Linked DNA regions of Coturnix japonica. The protein of the gene in region 2 binds, or shares a complex with, the protein of the main gene of each other region. Links are inferred from orthologs where the notes say so. Each region holds a gene or a part of one and is shown on either strand. Other genes may lie near its edges.

Region 1 (4,048 bases), on a different chromosome or scaffold from region 2:
AAGGCCAGCTTTACAGTAAGAAATCACCAACTAAATACTTTGGAATTAAGCTGGGGTCAGTCTTCAAAAGCTACTTACTGATCTAACACTCAATTCATTCTTTTGTATAGATTTTTCAGTGGCAAGACTGAAAAGTCTTAAATTACATAGAATTCCTACTTGAAATCTGTAGGATATATTTTCAAAAAGCCAGTAACAAAATCACAAAGTTGAACATACAGAATAGAGATTCACTTTTGCTATGATATTTTAATTAAATGGACCATTCTGTGGTCAAAAAGACACAGAGATTACATTTAAAACCTAAAAAGGCAGATTTTTAGAAGAAAGACTTTTAAATACATATATATATACCTGGATATTTTCTTTTAAAGGAAGTCACACCCAAATATTCACTAACTTGCTCCTGAAGCATATAGTACTCCCCTGTTTCATCTGGCGGCCACTTGTACTCTATCAGGTTTTCAGCAGGAAAATAGCTGTATCTGAGCGTAAGAACAACATCAGAAGAAATCAAAGAATGCTGGGAGAAAAAGACCAATAGCTACTTGCACCACTCAATTCAAACAGTTAAACAAAGAACATGAAAGAACGGAGAAGAGCTAATGCTTCAGCATATCAAATGAAACAGTAAGACTAGCAATAAAAGGCTGTATTACCCGAGGTCCTGACTAGAAGTCTCACAGCTCCGAGAACTGTCCCCTGAGCCCATCCGCCGTCTTTTCGACGGCTGGCTGCCATCATTGGAATTTTCTTCAGTGTCATCCTGAAACAAAGATGAAAACAGATATTTATCAATTTAAAGCATTCAGCGGGTAATTTAAAACATCAAAAACATTCTAATATGAAGTTTAGACATACCTGAAGGACTGAGCTGTTCAACAATAGTCTCTACACAAAACTGACAGGATAGTTTACACAGCAAACGTAAGAACTGATAGACAACTTATGAAAAGATGGAGTAGCAAAAGCTTTTTGTCAATGAAGGGATTAAGAAAATAACCCTAAAGCTACTGACTAATAACACTATATGACTCATACCTATTCTTTGCTTGTTAGCAACAGATCTCAAAGCATCTAGTGATCAGAGTTACATGACTACAAGTGAGAAACAGAAAACAAAGCAGTCGAGCAAGCTGCACATAGTGAGCAGCAGTAGATCCAAGAACAAAACTACCTCAAATAAAAGAAACCATGGACTAGTATGAAAATATCATTAAAATAAATGCCAGTTCAAAAGAATAATAAAATGCAATGTTCAAAATGTTCATACTGATTGTCACTGAATTAAAGTACCCTTTTGGATGGCTGCATTAACAGCTTTCAAGCAAAGCAGGTAATTGTAGATATATATATTTTTTGTAAGTTAGTATCAGCCCTGAGCTGATTTGATTTAGTTGGTCAGCTTTTGCCGGGCACAGAAAGTCATTTAGTTTCCATATGGTCCCATTACTGGGGAATTTTGGTCCAGGCTGTTTGACCTGGATCTCAAATTTCCACTTGGATTGTATTTATAAGTATGGGAAAAGAAACCGCTTTTCTTTTATTTTGTCAGGTATGCTTTGCAACTCTCTTACTTCCTCAGTTGGAAGCTGGACTGAGACTGCTCTTTGCTACAACTAATATAAGTCCACAGCTCATTCCTTTCTCCCACACAGCACCCTGATGCACTGTAGAGTTTAGAGCTGATGGACATAACTACTAAAGCTATGTTTCCTATAGCAAAGCTGACAAGAAACTTCAAAGTATTGCACCGGTTTTCTCTTACTGCATCGAAGTTTTCCCTTTCTGAACACCGTGTTTATAGTACATAAGCACCCACACCGCAGGAGGGACAGCTGCCTCTGCCTCCTCCGCTTTTAGTTTCGCTCACAGAATCACAGAATGACCCGGGTTGGAAGGGACCTCAAGGATCATGTAGTTCCAACCCCCCTGCCTGGCAGGGCCACCAAACATACACCTTTACTAGATCAGGTTGCCCAGGGCCCCGTCCAACCTGGTCTTGAACACCTCCAAGGACGGGGCATCCACAACCTCCCTGGGCAGCCTGTTCCAGGGCCTGACCACTCTCCTAGTGAAGAAGAAACTGCTCCGCAGACGAACACAAAACACGCAAGGAAACAAGGCAGGACGGTGCAAAGGACTCGGCAAACAAGTGAGAACACGACAGTTCAGTCAGAAAAGCTCAGCCGAAACAGGCCTTGCCTTCCTCTTCCTTCCCCGCCTGGCAGAAGCACGCCCAGCACAGCCGCACTGCTGCCTGTTGGTTGGCTCTTTAAAGTTACAGAGCGAAGTCTCCGTACGCCAATCAGCTTCCAGAGCTCCGCCACGACGCTTTATTTTGTAACTGGCAGCCGGAACTACCCAAACCTCCTCCAAAAGTGCCCAACGAGCCGTGCCCGCGGGGCCGCTCGCAGCCAGCCCCAAACTTGGCGTGGTGCGGCGGTCCGGCACGGGCGGCGCTCAGAGGAGCCACGGCGGCCGCACGGGCGCTTGGCCCCGACCCCGCGCCACAACTTCGCCGCAGCCGCGGGAGGCCGCCAACACCCCCGGGCGCCCCACCGCGAGGAGAGCCCGGGCTCAGAGCGGAGCCCCGCGGGGGGGGGGGGCGCCGGCCGAGGCCTCCCGCCGCCCGGCCGCAGCCTCGGGCCGCCCGCCGCGCTCACCTTCAGGGACTGGTTTCCGGGCGTGGCCGGGTCGCTCTCGCAGAGGCGCGGGGACAGCACGGCCGCCATGAGCGCCGCGGGGGCCGCCGCCGGCTGGGCGAGGAGAAGCGCCGCCGCCGCGCGCCCCGGCCTCGCGCCGCGCCCGGCTCCGCCCCCCCTCCCCCTGCGGGGGGTGGCAACGGCCCCTACCGGCCAGCCCGGGCACGAGCGCGGCGCCTCGCGCAGCTCCTGCTCCGCCCCCCTCCGGGCTGCCCGCGGCGACCCCGGCCCGCGCCGCCGGACCGGCACGCGGCCCGCCCCGCCCGCAACGCCGCGCGGGCCCGGCAACGCCGCTCCGCCGCCGCTACCGCCGCCGCAGCCGCGCCCTCCTCCTCCTCCTCCTCCTCCTCCGGCCGCCGCAGCCGCCGCCGCTCGAGCGGCCGCGCGGCCCAACCGCGAGCGCGGGGCCGATCCGCCTCGGCAGCGCTTGGGTAGCAGCGCGGCGCGCAGGGGCAGCATCCCCACGGCGTGGTGGGCGCCGAGCGCCGCCGCCGCCGTCCGGTGCGGGAGCTGGCCCCTGCAGGGCTGGGCTGCTCCGTCTCCGGCGCGTCAGCCGGGGACGAGCTACGTTTGTGAACCATCCACCAGCGCAGGAGGGGTGTACGGGGGGCGGGGGGGAGCACTCGCAGGAAGCCGGTGCGAGCGCTCTCCCCCCCGAGGAGGGCGCTTGAAGCCGGCCCCGCCGCTGCGCGGAAGGAGCGAACGCGCCGCCGTCAACCCGCACCCCCTCCGGCCGCGCCCGTCGCCGCTCCCCCGGCCGTACCTGGCAGGAGAGCCCCCGTCCGCTCCGCGCCTCGGCCCGCACGCGGCCCCGCCCGCACCGCACCGGAGAACAAAGCGCGAAGCCACTCCCACGCGGGGACCGCAGTCCCCCGCCTCGGGCCGCCGTGGATGGCGGGGAGCTGCCGCGCGGCCGGCACCGAAGCCCTAGAGCGCTCCTGCCCGCGCCTTCAGCCTGGGCACCGCTCCGTACAGCCCGTCTGCACAGCCCCGGGCACGTTCAGGGATAACACCGCCAGCCTTAGGAAACGTTTACATGGAGCTCGTAACAATAGAAATGGTGTCAGAGCTCCTTTCCCACATTCCGCAGGATCTGTGCCTCGCGGATCTACCTTAACTCTTATTAGCCCTCGCCGTTGTTGTCTTCTACAGCCCGTTATCAATAGCCATGCTCCAGGGCACGTTCTTCTTGTCCTTGCCCTGAGAAGCTGCTTGCTGAATTCAGCGCTTACTCACCCGCCTGAGCACTGCAGTACTTAGAACAAGACTAATAGTCAACGACCAAACTCAGCCCCTTCCAGGAGCATATGTGGAAATTCACACCAATTAAGCATGTAAAAGAT
Region 2 (4,258 bases):
ACAAGGGCAGCCTGAAGTGTACTGCTGGACAGTAGAAAACACATCAGGAAAAAACATATAGGCATAAAGGTGGTCATTAAAGCTGAATTTATCCATAACAGTTCTGGAAATAGAGCAGAGGGGCGAAAGTGACAGTGAAGGATGATGAAGCCTGTGCAAAAAATCCCTCTTCCCACAGATACAGCGTGTGAGGCCCTGATCAACAGACCAGGAGTTAGAGAAATCTAAGGAATAACTGAAAGAAAGGCGGTCTTTTGAAAAGAACTGCTCAGCAGAGGTGTAACAAACTACTCCAGCAGGGCGAAGTATCACACCTGAGGCTTCTCACCACTGAGATCTGACAGCACAGAGGGATCCTATCTGAACCACACAAAGGGAAGAAGATCTCTTCTGAGCTGGCAGCATGGGAAAGAACAAAGGCAAGATGAAACACACAAGAGCAAAGGGCGAAGTGACCTTAGCAGAGAAACACATGTTTTCAGAAAGATCAAATAAACCCAAAATCTAACAGCTCTCAGTAAATAGTGCAAAATTCTCCTTTCTATTTAATTCTTCAAACAGTACATTTTTTTCTCATGGCATTCTATCCCTGCTTATACACTCCCATTTCTGAAAATGAAACAATAACGATAACAATACCTGCAGTAATCAAGAGAGATCATTTTGCCAAAGAGAGAACAAAAAAACCCAGTAATCTGAAGAGGAGATTTTCCCTGGAGTGGAGGCATAACCTGATTCCAAGGCATGCTGGAAAACTTTACTCTTCAACTTGAATCTTCAAGGAATTGATTCAGATGCAGACAGGCCGCGTGCGGTGATGAGGCTGCAATATCTGCACTCGGGGTAACGGCTCGTTCTTTTATTCGATAGGATATGTAAACAGGTAAATGAAGTTGCAACTTTGGGTCTTTTGTAAGCAATGGAAGACTGGCTGCCTCAACCTGTTTTGACCAAAATGAGCCTGAGGTCAGGAAGAAACTAGAAGTGAAGAACAAACACGGAAGCAAAAGCAGAACCAAAGGAAATAATCATGGAGGGGCGCAGAGGGTCCTACAAGAGGAGCTCAGGCAAAGAGTGATGGACAAGAAGCTCTGTTTCCCCTGACAGGCAGTGGAAAGGTAACAACCAGATGCAGGTACTCAGGCAATGTGGATACCAAGTGAGACGCCTCTCATGGAGAAACAGGCAGTGCAGACAAGTCAGACTTTTCTAGCACCCAAATAACTAATGGAAACAAGTTCTGCTGCATTAATTCTGGTATGAATTAACATTTCTCATGCTTAAGAGGCCAGCAGGCTCCTTTCACATCTACATGGGAAAGAAGCAGGGTCATCCAACTGTCTTAGCAACTCTTGGAAATACCAAAGGAAGAGCAGTGTTGTGCCAACAGAAGCCTTGGAAAAAGAAACAGCTACCCTCGTGCACAGCCCTCCCGGGATGCCTGCGGCCACCCAGCTACAGCCACCCTGAGCCAGACCATCTTAACCAACACACGTGTTCACAGCACAGCTACTGCCACAGATCCGCACACCTGCTTCTGTCATATCTGCCCATCCAGCCACAGACTGCTGATGTACATCGGCACCGCTCTGCCTGCTCACTGCTCTCAGGGAGCAGAATGCCATCTAAAAGTCCTTCACCCTGCAAGCTCATCATAGCCAGGCTCTGCAGTACACAAGAAAGATCCAATACATTTGGAGCAAGCCTGAATTATGGGGACAACCCAGAGGCCTGCAGCGAGCTCCCGAGATTCCTTTGTACAGGAACACGCAGCGGATGTCTTCAAAAAGGTGTCACAGAAGGTGCCAGAACGCTCAGGAGAGAAAACACGCAGGGACTGTCTCCATCTGAGCTATATCTGCGTTTCCTGGGTCTTATTTCCTTAAAAGTGTATCAGCACGAGACATCCGAATGCTATAAATGGTGGTCGCTTTCAACCATCAGTCATTTAAAGAACATCGTTTCTCCTGGCAGCAAAACAAGGTTAGCGTATCCCCTTAAATGGAGATCAAAAACCTGATTCCTTAAACAAAAGCTGGCGATTTTTTAAAGACCTGAGTGATTCCTTTAATTAAGCGCGGCAACCTGACGTTCCCTCGTGGGTGAGCGCCCATCGCCTGGCAGAGATCCGCAGCGCTAATCTCTCCAAGCCCCTGAAAGTCACCTGTTAAGTAGCCAGCGGATACATCAGAGCCAAGGCTGGAGACGAGAACCAGAGGCAGCGCCACACGGCCGCGTCGGACCAGCATCAGAATTGCTTTTCAAAACACAAGTTTGCTTACAGAACAAAGTGTCCTACGAGCCCGTTTGGGTCAGACGCGGTGCAGATCCCGCACCGTGACGAGGCTCGGGAGCACGCTATTCACCAAGCACGGAGAATCAAAGCAGCAATCACAGCACGCAACCCCCCAGACAAAGCCGTATAGCAACGAATCGGTCACATCGTGTGCACCGGCGGCCCCGCGGCTCCCGGGCGAGGCGGGGAGCGGCGCCCCACGGGCGCGCAGCAGGGGCCGCTCCAGCCCGGCGCAGCCTCCGCTCTGCACTCATCCCTCGATCCGGAGCCAGCAGCTCGCTAACTTTCCCGACTCACCACCCCATGGACCAGAAACTCAAAAAGTTTGCTTTTCGTAGCTTTGCGAGCCCCTCCTGTAACTTCGTCTGTAGCCATCGGGGTCTGCTCAGCCTCTCTCACTCTCTCTCTTCCTCTTTCTTTCCCTTTTCTGCCTTTTTCTCCAACTCTCCCCTCTGAGTCCTGCTGGGCTCTCACACTTCTAATAGCGCGGAGTGGGGAGGGGGCCCCTTCAGGGCCTTCCTGACGGCCCACTCGCGCTCGGCCTCAGCTGCTGCATTCCTCCACTGATAAGCCAGAAATAGTTTGCGCTGCCGGGCTCTGCGTGTTTACTCTGCGGGGACAGAAAATCCCGCTTTTTAAACCTCTCTGTCCAAACACCCGAGATAAGAGCCAGGCAGATTGAAAACACGTCCCGGCCTTTCGCGGCGGAGCCGCAGCCGCTCCTCCTCGGCGCAGGGGATGGTAAATTCTGGGGCAAGGGGGAGGGGGCGGCCTCGGCTCCCGGGGAGTTTTCCCATTACAATATGCGGCGGGAGAGCGGGGAGAAACAATGGCTCCCCCCGTTCGCAGCGCTCCGCCCGCGCCGCGCTCCAGGCCCCGTCCCCGGGGACCGCCGGCAGCGGGCAAACATTCGCTGGCGGCGATTCCAGCGCCAGGATGAGAACGGCCCCTGCGGCGAGAAGAGGCGGCGGGAGGCGGAGAGACGGGAGCGGGCAGGGACGGAGCGGGGGAGAAGGGATGGGGGGCGTGCGAGCAGCGGGGGCGGCATAGCGGCATAGCAGCACGGCAGCACGGCAGTATGGCAGTATGGCAGTATGGATGTATGGCAGCACGGCAGTATGGCAGTATGGCAGTATGGCAGTATGGATGTATGGCAGTATGGATGTATGGCAGTATGGCAGTATGGCAGTATGGATGTATGGCAGTATGGCAGCATGGCAGTATGGCGGCGGCCCCGCCCGGGGCGATCTGTCCGGGGCTCTCCGGCCCCGCTACGCCCCGTGTGACTGACGGCTGCAGACGCCGCGATCCCCGCAGCTCGCCGTTGTGCTGCCGCAGCTCGCGGCTCCTCGTGCACAGCCCCGCGCGGCACCACGAGACCCCGCGGCCCATCGGGGGGGAAGGGGCCTCTGCAGCGCTTCTCGGCGGCCCCTCCGTGATGGAGAGCAGTAATAACGGCTCTGCGGTGCACAGCGGCAATAACGGCTCTGCGGTGCACAGCGGCGGGGCCGCCTCCATGACGGCACAGCGGCGTGGCCGTGGGGCTCTGCTCACCGCGGTGTGTGCGGCTGGAGGGGGCGGCTGCCTCCCGTCCGCCTGATACATTGATAGAGGTGTTGCCAGAGGGGTTTGTTCTGTTCCTCTCCTTGAGATTGATGTCTATAGACTCTGAATTTTTTGGCAAGGCTGCAAGTAGAAGGGAATCAGAAGGGAACCTGAATTGAATAAAATCGCTGCTCTCACCCAGTGGTTAAAAACAAGCACCAAAAAGACACTGAATCGGGCAGCAGCGAGGAGCAGCCCATGGCGAACACACGGCATCGTGTGCGCGGGGACTGAGGAGCAGCCTCTGCTGATGTTCAAGGTGACCCCGGCCCAGGCAGCGCCGTGTAGGATAGCGCAGCAATGACAGCGTTTGGGCGTGTGGGGGCTGCTCTCAGCGCCCTCCCCCTTCCGCTCCCT
Region 3 (4,137 bases), on a different chromosome or scaffold from region 2:
GAGTGCTCCAGGGAGTGCATTTAACTGACAATCTGAAAGAAAAGTCAGCTGTGGGAGTACAGACTGAGAAAGGGTGGAGGAAATCAGCTCCACTTCTAGATCGAGCTCTGTAAATTACAAGATCTTAATTACATTAAATACATTATGGTACCGTATGCACATTTCTAGTCAGGCAGGAGTGGAGGAAATGTGGCTGGCTGCTAAGGCTGGAAGCTGCACTGCTGTGCTTTAGACTTGATCTTCAATTCAGAAAGTTTCTTAACCACTTTGTCCTAGTTTAGTCATCCACAAAACAAAGGCAATAATCCCTTCTTCACAGGGGTGATGAGAGGTTTAATTAATTAATGTTTACAAAGCCCACTGAGATTTCTGACTGACACTTTAAGTCATTCAGAATACCACTTCATTGCATTTGTTCCTTCTGCTGCCCCACTCGAACATCTCCGCATTAAGATATCCAAAGGAAAAGATGGAAAGAAGAAATAGAGATAGGTACCCAACAATGAATGCAGCATTTCTAGCCCACTGCTGCCCATCAGCACACTGAGTGCTGCCTTTTCTGCAGGCAAAGAACTCTGTGTTTATCCAGACACCTGCTGCCCTTTCTTCGCAGATCTGTTACGCTCACATCTCTGCCGTTTTTGCCTCGGAGCACCGTGTAGGTGAGCAAGGTGCTGGATGGCAAAAATAGCAGGCGATTGAGTCGGGCTGACCAGACAGACAGAGGCAGCGAGGGGGATAAGAGCAGAGGGATGAAAGCCCCCGAAGAGAACCAGCAAGTGAGAAAAGAGGCAGAGAGAGAGGCGAGCTGAACGTGGGAGCGCCCATCACAGCCGGGGGACTGCACGCACCGCGCTATTCCGTGCAGCGCGTTCCCAGGGACGCTCAGGTACACGGGAGCACGTTATTTCGAGAGCAGCGCAGCACGAACGAGGCCACACATGTGTCCAAGTGCCGGAGAGAAACTGAGCTCTGGGCACCGTAGACGGGCGGCACAGCCGGAGCTGCGGACACCTGAGCCGGGATGTCTCGGTCCCGACATTGTCCCCGGCTCGGAGCGAAACCTTTGTGCGGGCAGTTTCTGTAGGGGGCGTTTGTGGGTTTTCAGATACAATCAAAACGCAGATAAATGCAAATGTCATTCGGCTCCCTTTCATTGTCAGGGAGGACACATGAGGATAAAACGTTGTGCTCTACGTCCTTTCCCCTATTATGCGTCCTACCGCTTTTGTCCTAATTTATCCCGTGCATAATTTATTTACGTGCGTATTGTTTCCCCAACCAGCAACTTTAAAGAATGAGTGGAAATTATAAAATGTTTTATTAAACAACTTCTCGATATAAAAACGCAGGTGGTGCCGGGCAGTCCGTGCCGGTCCCGCTTCCCCCGCTCAGCAGCGCAGCACTTGTGCAGGCAGAGAGACGAGCTGCCCATTGTTCGCGCTCTCCCACGCCGCGCGAGAGGAGCCGAGCTCCGCTGCCCTCCCGGCTCAGCCTGGCGGGGCCGGGGCGGCCCGTTCTCCCCCACCCCCCGGGGCTCCCGGGGAGCGCTGCCCGCTGAGAGCGGCTCCGGAAGCCGGGCGAGAACTGCGAGCGGGACGGAGCGCCCGGGGCATCAGCGCGACAAGTTGCTGCGGGCGGCGCGGGTCCAGAGAGCGGCGGCGGCGGGTGCTGAGCCCCGGGATCCCCTTAAAGGAGCGCGGGGCACCTGCACTGCCGCTGCCCGCGGCCGTGTGGGCGCTGCGGAGCGCACGCGAAATGAAAGCGAAGGTTTTCTGCCAGGACGGAGCGGGAGAGCCGGCAAACGTGTCAGCACCTTTCCGCAGCCCGAGGCTCATCCTCCCCGCAGACTGCGGAGAGACGGCGGCAGGAGTCCCCGGAACCACCTCCGAGCGGTTTGCCAACTCCAGCCGGAGGGACGCGAGTCAAAAACCAACAAAAAAAGAAACAGAAGAAAAGAAAGCGGAGCCACATCCCGCAGCCCTCACTTCGGCTCCGGACTCCGTTCCGCGCTGCTGAGAAGTGCGGGGAAGCGCCGCCGCCAGGTGTCCGCGCTGCGCTGCGCTCCGTCCGCGGGAGCGCTGCCCCGGGAGGCACAACTCTCCCGCGGGAGGTTACGCGGCGCCGGGTCGCGCTCTCCCTAATGCCCCGGGATTAGCCGCGCGCCGGAACCCGAGGGAAACGCCAGAGGAGAGCAGGGGGGACGGCGAGCGATCCCGCGTCCCTCTTAGGACGGGGACCCGGGTGGCGGCGGCAGCCGAGTCGCCCTCCCGCCCCCGGCGCCCGCTCCCGAGCCGCGAGCGGCACCAACTCCCCGCCGCTCGGAGCCTTCCGCGCAAACGGCGCCGCTGCCCCGCGCCGCACCCCGCACCCCGCGGCTCGTCGCTCCCCGCCGCCCGCCCCGCCCCGGCCGCCGCCGGACCCCGCGGGACGCCGCCAGGTGCGGGTGCGCCCCGACCGGGGCCGCAGGACGCGCCGCCCGCCCGGAGCCGCCGAGCCGGGGCCGCGCGAGGAGGCGGGGAGCCGGGGCCGGGCGAGGCGGGAGGGCGGCCGTTCTCGTAGCGGAACCACGCGGAGCGTGTGCGGGTCTGAGCCCTACTTACGCTTTCAGGGGGTTGTGAATGACAGTCGCCATTTTGCTACAATGTAACAGAATATTGTGTCTCGGAGTTCTAAAGGTTCGCTCAGGGGAAGCGCCCGGCCAATCGGCGCGGGTCGTGCCGGCCCGCCGCCCAATCGTGCTCCGCGGGCGGGGCCGTAGCGCTGCTAGTTATTAGGGGAGCTGTCAAAGCCCAGAGGTCGCTCCTGCCTGTGGAGCGGGCGGCGAGCGGCCCTTAAAGGGGCAGCGCCCGCGCGGGGCACGCGGCCGGGCGGATCCTGGCAGGGGCCGCCCCCGGGGACACCGCCCCGCCCGCCGCCCTCCCGCCGGGCCGGCACCGCCATCCGCCCGGCCCCCGGGAGCCGCTTCCCCCCCCCAGGAATTTCCCTCCCGCGTCGGGTGGCCGCGGCCCCGAGCCCTTACATAACCGTAACGACCGGCCGCGATGACCGACACGCCCCGCCCCGGCCGCTCCCGGGACGGGACGGCGGCGGGGGCGAGTCCCGGGAGCCCGCGGCCACCTGCCGCTACACGGAGTGCTCGCAAGGAATTGGGAAGAGCGGCAGAGCGCCCGAAGGAAGCGGCGGGCTGGAACTCCGCGCCACTCGGAGTACAGCGCCGGAATGGAACGGGCACGGTCCGAGCCAGCAGCTCCCGCCCCGTCCCTCCCGAAGGACTCCCCTCCCTTCGGGCACCTCTGTCCATCCAGAAACAAGCAGCAGCCTGCCTCTCCAATCCTCGCATTCATAAAACTGGAGGAAACTCAGCTACACGCAGTTAAATCATTCCCATCGCAGGAGCAAGATAAGCCTACAGAGGGTAGCCCGATCCACAACTTAATGAAAGAATGGAAGTAAATGTTTGAGAGATGTTCAGGTGTAACACAGAGAAAACAGCAATCGTTGAGCTCATGGGATGAGCTTTGCAAGGGCAGAAAAACTAAATCTCTCCCAACTGTTTGTCAAAATAAAACTTTCTAATGTGTGGGCAGCAGAGAAAAGGCTGAGAGATGAACAACAGAGAGGTACAGAAATTATTACATGCAGATAAGGGGAAAGAGCAGTGCATCACTTTCCCAGTCATGCAGGATTCAGCAGCTTTGCCAGAGTCCCCTTTCCCAAAGCAGCACCTGCTGCAGCTCCAAGGCCAACCTGCCCACTGTGTGCTCCCGGAGGGAACCATCTTCCCCTATCTGAGACACTTGGTTACAGGAGAAATAAGCTTCCTGTCAGCTGGAGAGTTGCCAGACTGCCGAGATGTATCCTAACCACGGTTCTGGGAAGCAATCTTCAAGAACGTTTCCATTATCATATTGCATTATATTATATGGTATAGTAGTGGTCCAGGTGACATTGACTGTAACTGCAGAAAGCCCTGTTCGGTACTCACACTGTTCACAGGAAAAGCTAACCACAAACTGCCGAGCTCTCACAAGCACACGATGCTGCGCATGCTGCACAAAAATGAATGGGTCTGAATGCAGCTCAACTGGTGACCCTCGACCAGTGACCTGAATCACGTCCCACTGCCACAAAGAT

Evidence for each region. The genes of interacting proteins can lie anywhere in the genome.
Region 1: SMARCD3 (region 2) and PHF10 share a complex: the UniProt entries of both Homo sapiens proteins name them as parts of the neural progenitors-specific chromatin remodeling complex. The link is inferred for Coturnix japonica from reciprocal best matches to the Homo sapiens genes SMARCD3 and PHF10.
Region 3: SMARCD3 (region 2) and DPF3 share a complex: the UniProt entries of both Homo sapiens proteins name them as parts of the BAF complex. The link is inferred for Coturnix japonica from reciprocal best matches to the Homo sapiens genes SMARCD3 and DPF3.

Annotation. Positions count from the first base shown.
Region 1 is NC_029518.1:36,956,319-36,960,366, reverse strand, and holds the start of PHF10 (PHD finger protein 10), read right to left. Parts: upstream 2,801-4,048; 5' UTR 2,736-2,800; coding exon 2,667-2,735; intron 767-2,666; coding exon 660-766; intron 486-659; coding exon 355-485; intron 1-354. UniProt on the Homo sapiens protein: Involved in transcription activity regulation by chromatin remodeling. Belongs to the neural progenitors-specific chromatin remodeling complex (npBAF complex) and is required for the proliferation of neural progenitors.
Region 2 is NC_029517.1:105,896-110,153, forward strand, and holds the start of SMARCD3 (SWI/SNF-related matrix-associated actin-dependent regulator of chromatin subfamily D member 3), read right to left. Parts: upstream 2,801-4,258; 5' UTR 2,672-2,800; coding exon 2,594-2,671; intron 1-2,593. UniProt on the Homo sapiens protein: Involved in transcriptional activation and repression of select genes by chromatin remodeling (alteration of DNA-nucleosome topology).
Region 3 is NC_029520.1:23,752,086-23,756,222, reverse strand, and holds the start of DPF3 (zinc finger protein DPF3), read right to left. Parts: upstream 2,801-4,137; 5' UTR 2,636-2,800; coding exon 2,604-2,635; intron 1-2,603. UniProt on the Homo sapiens protein: Belongs to the neuron-specific chromatin remodeling complex (nBAF complex).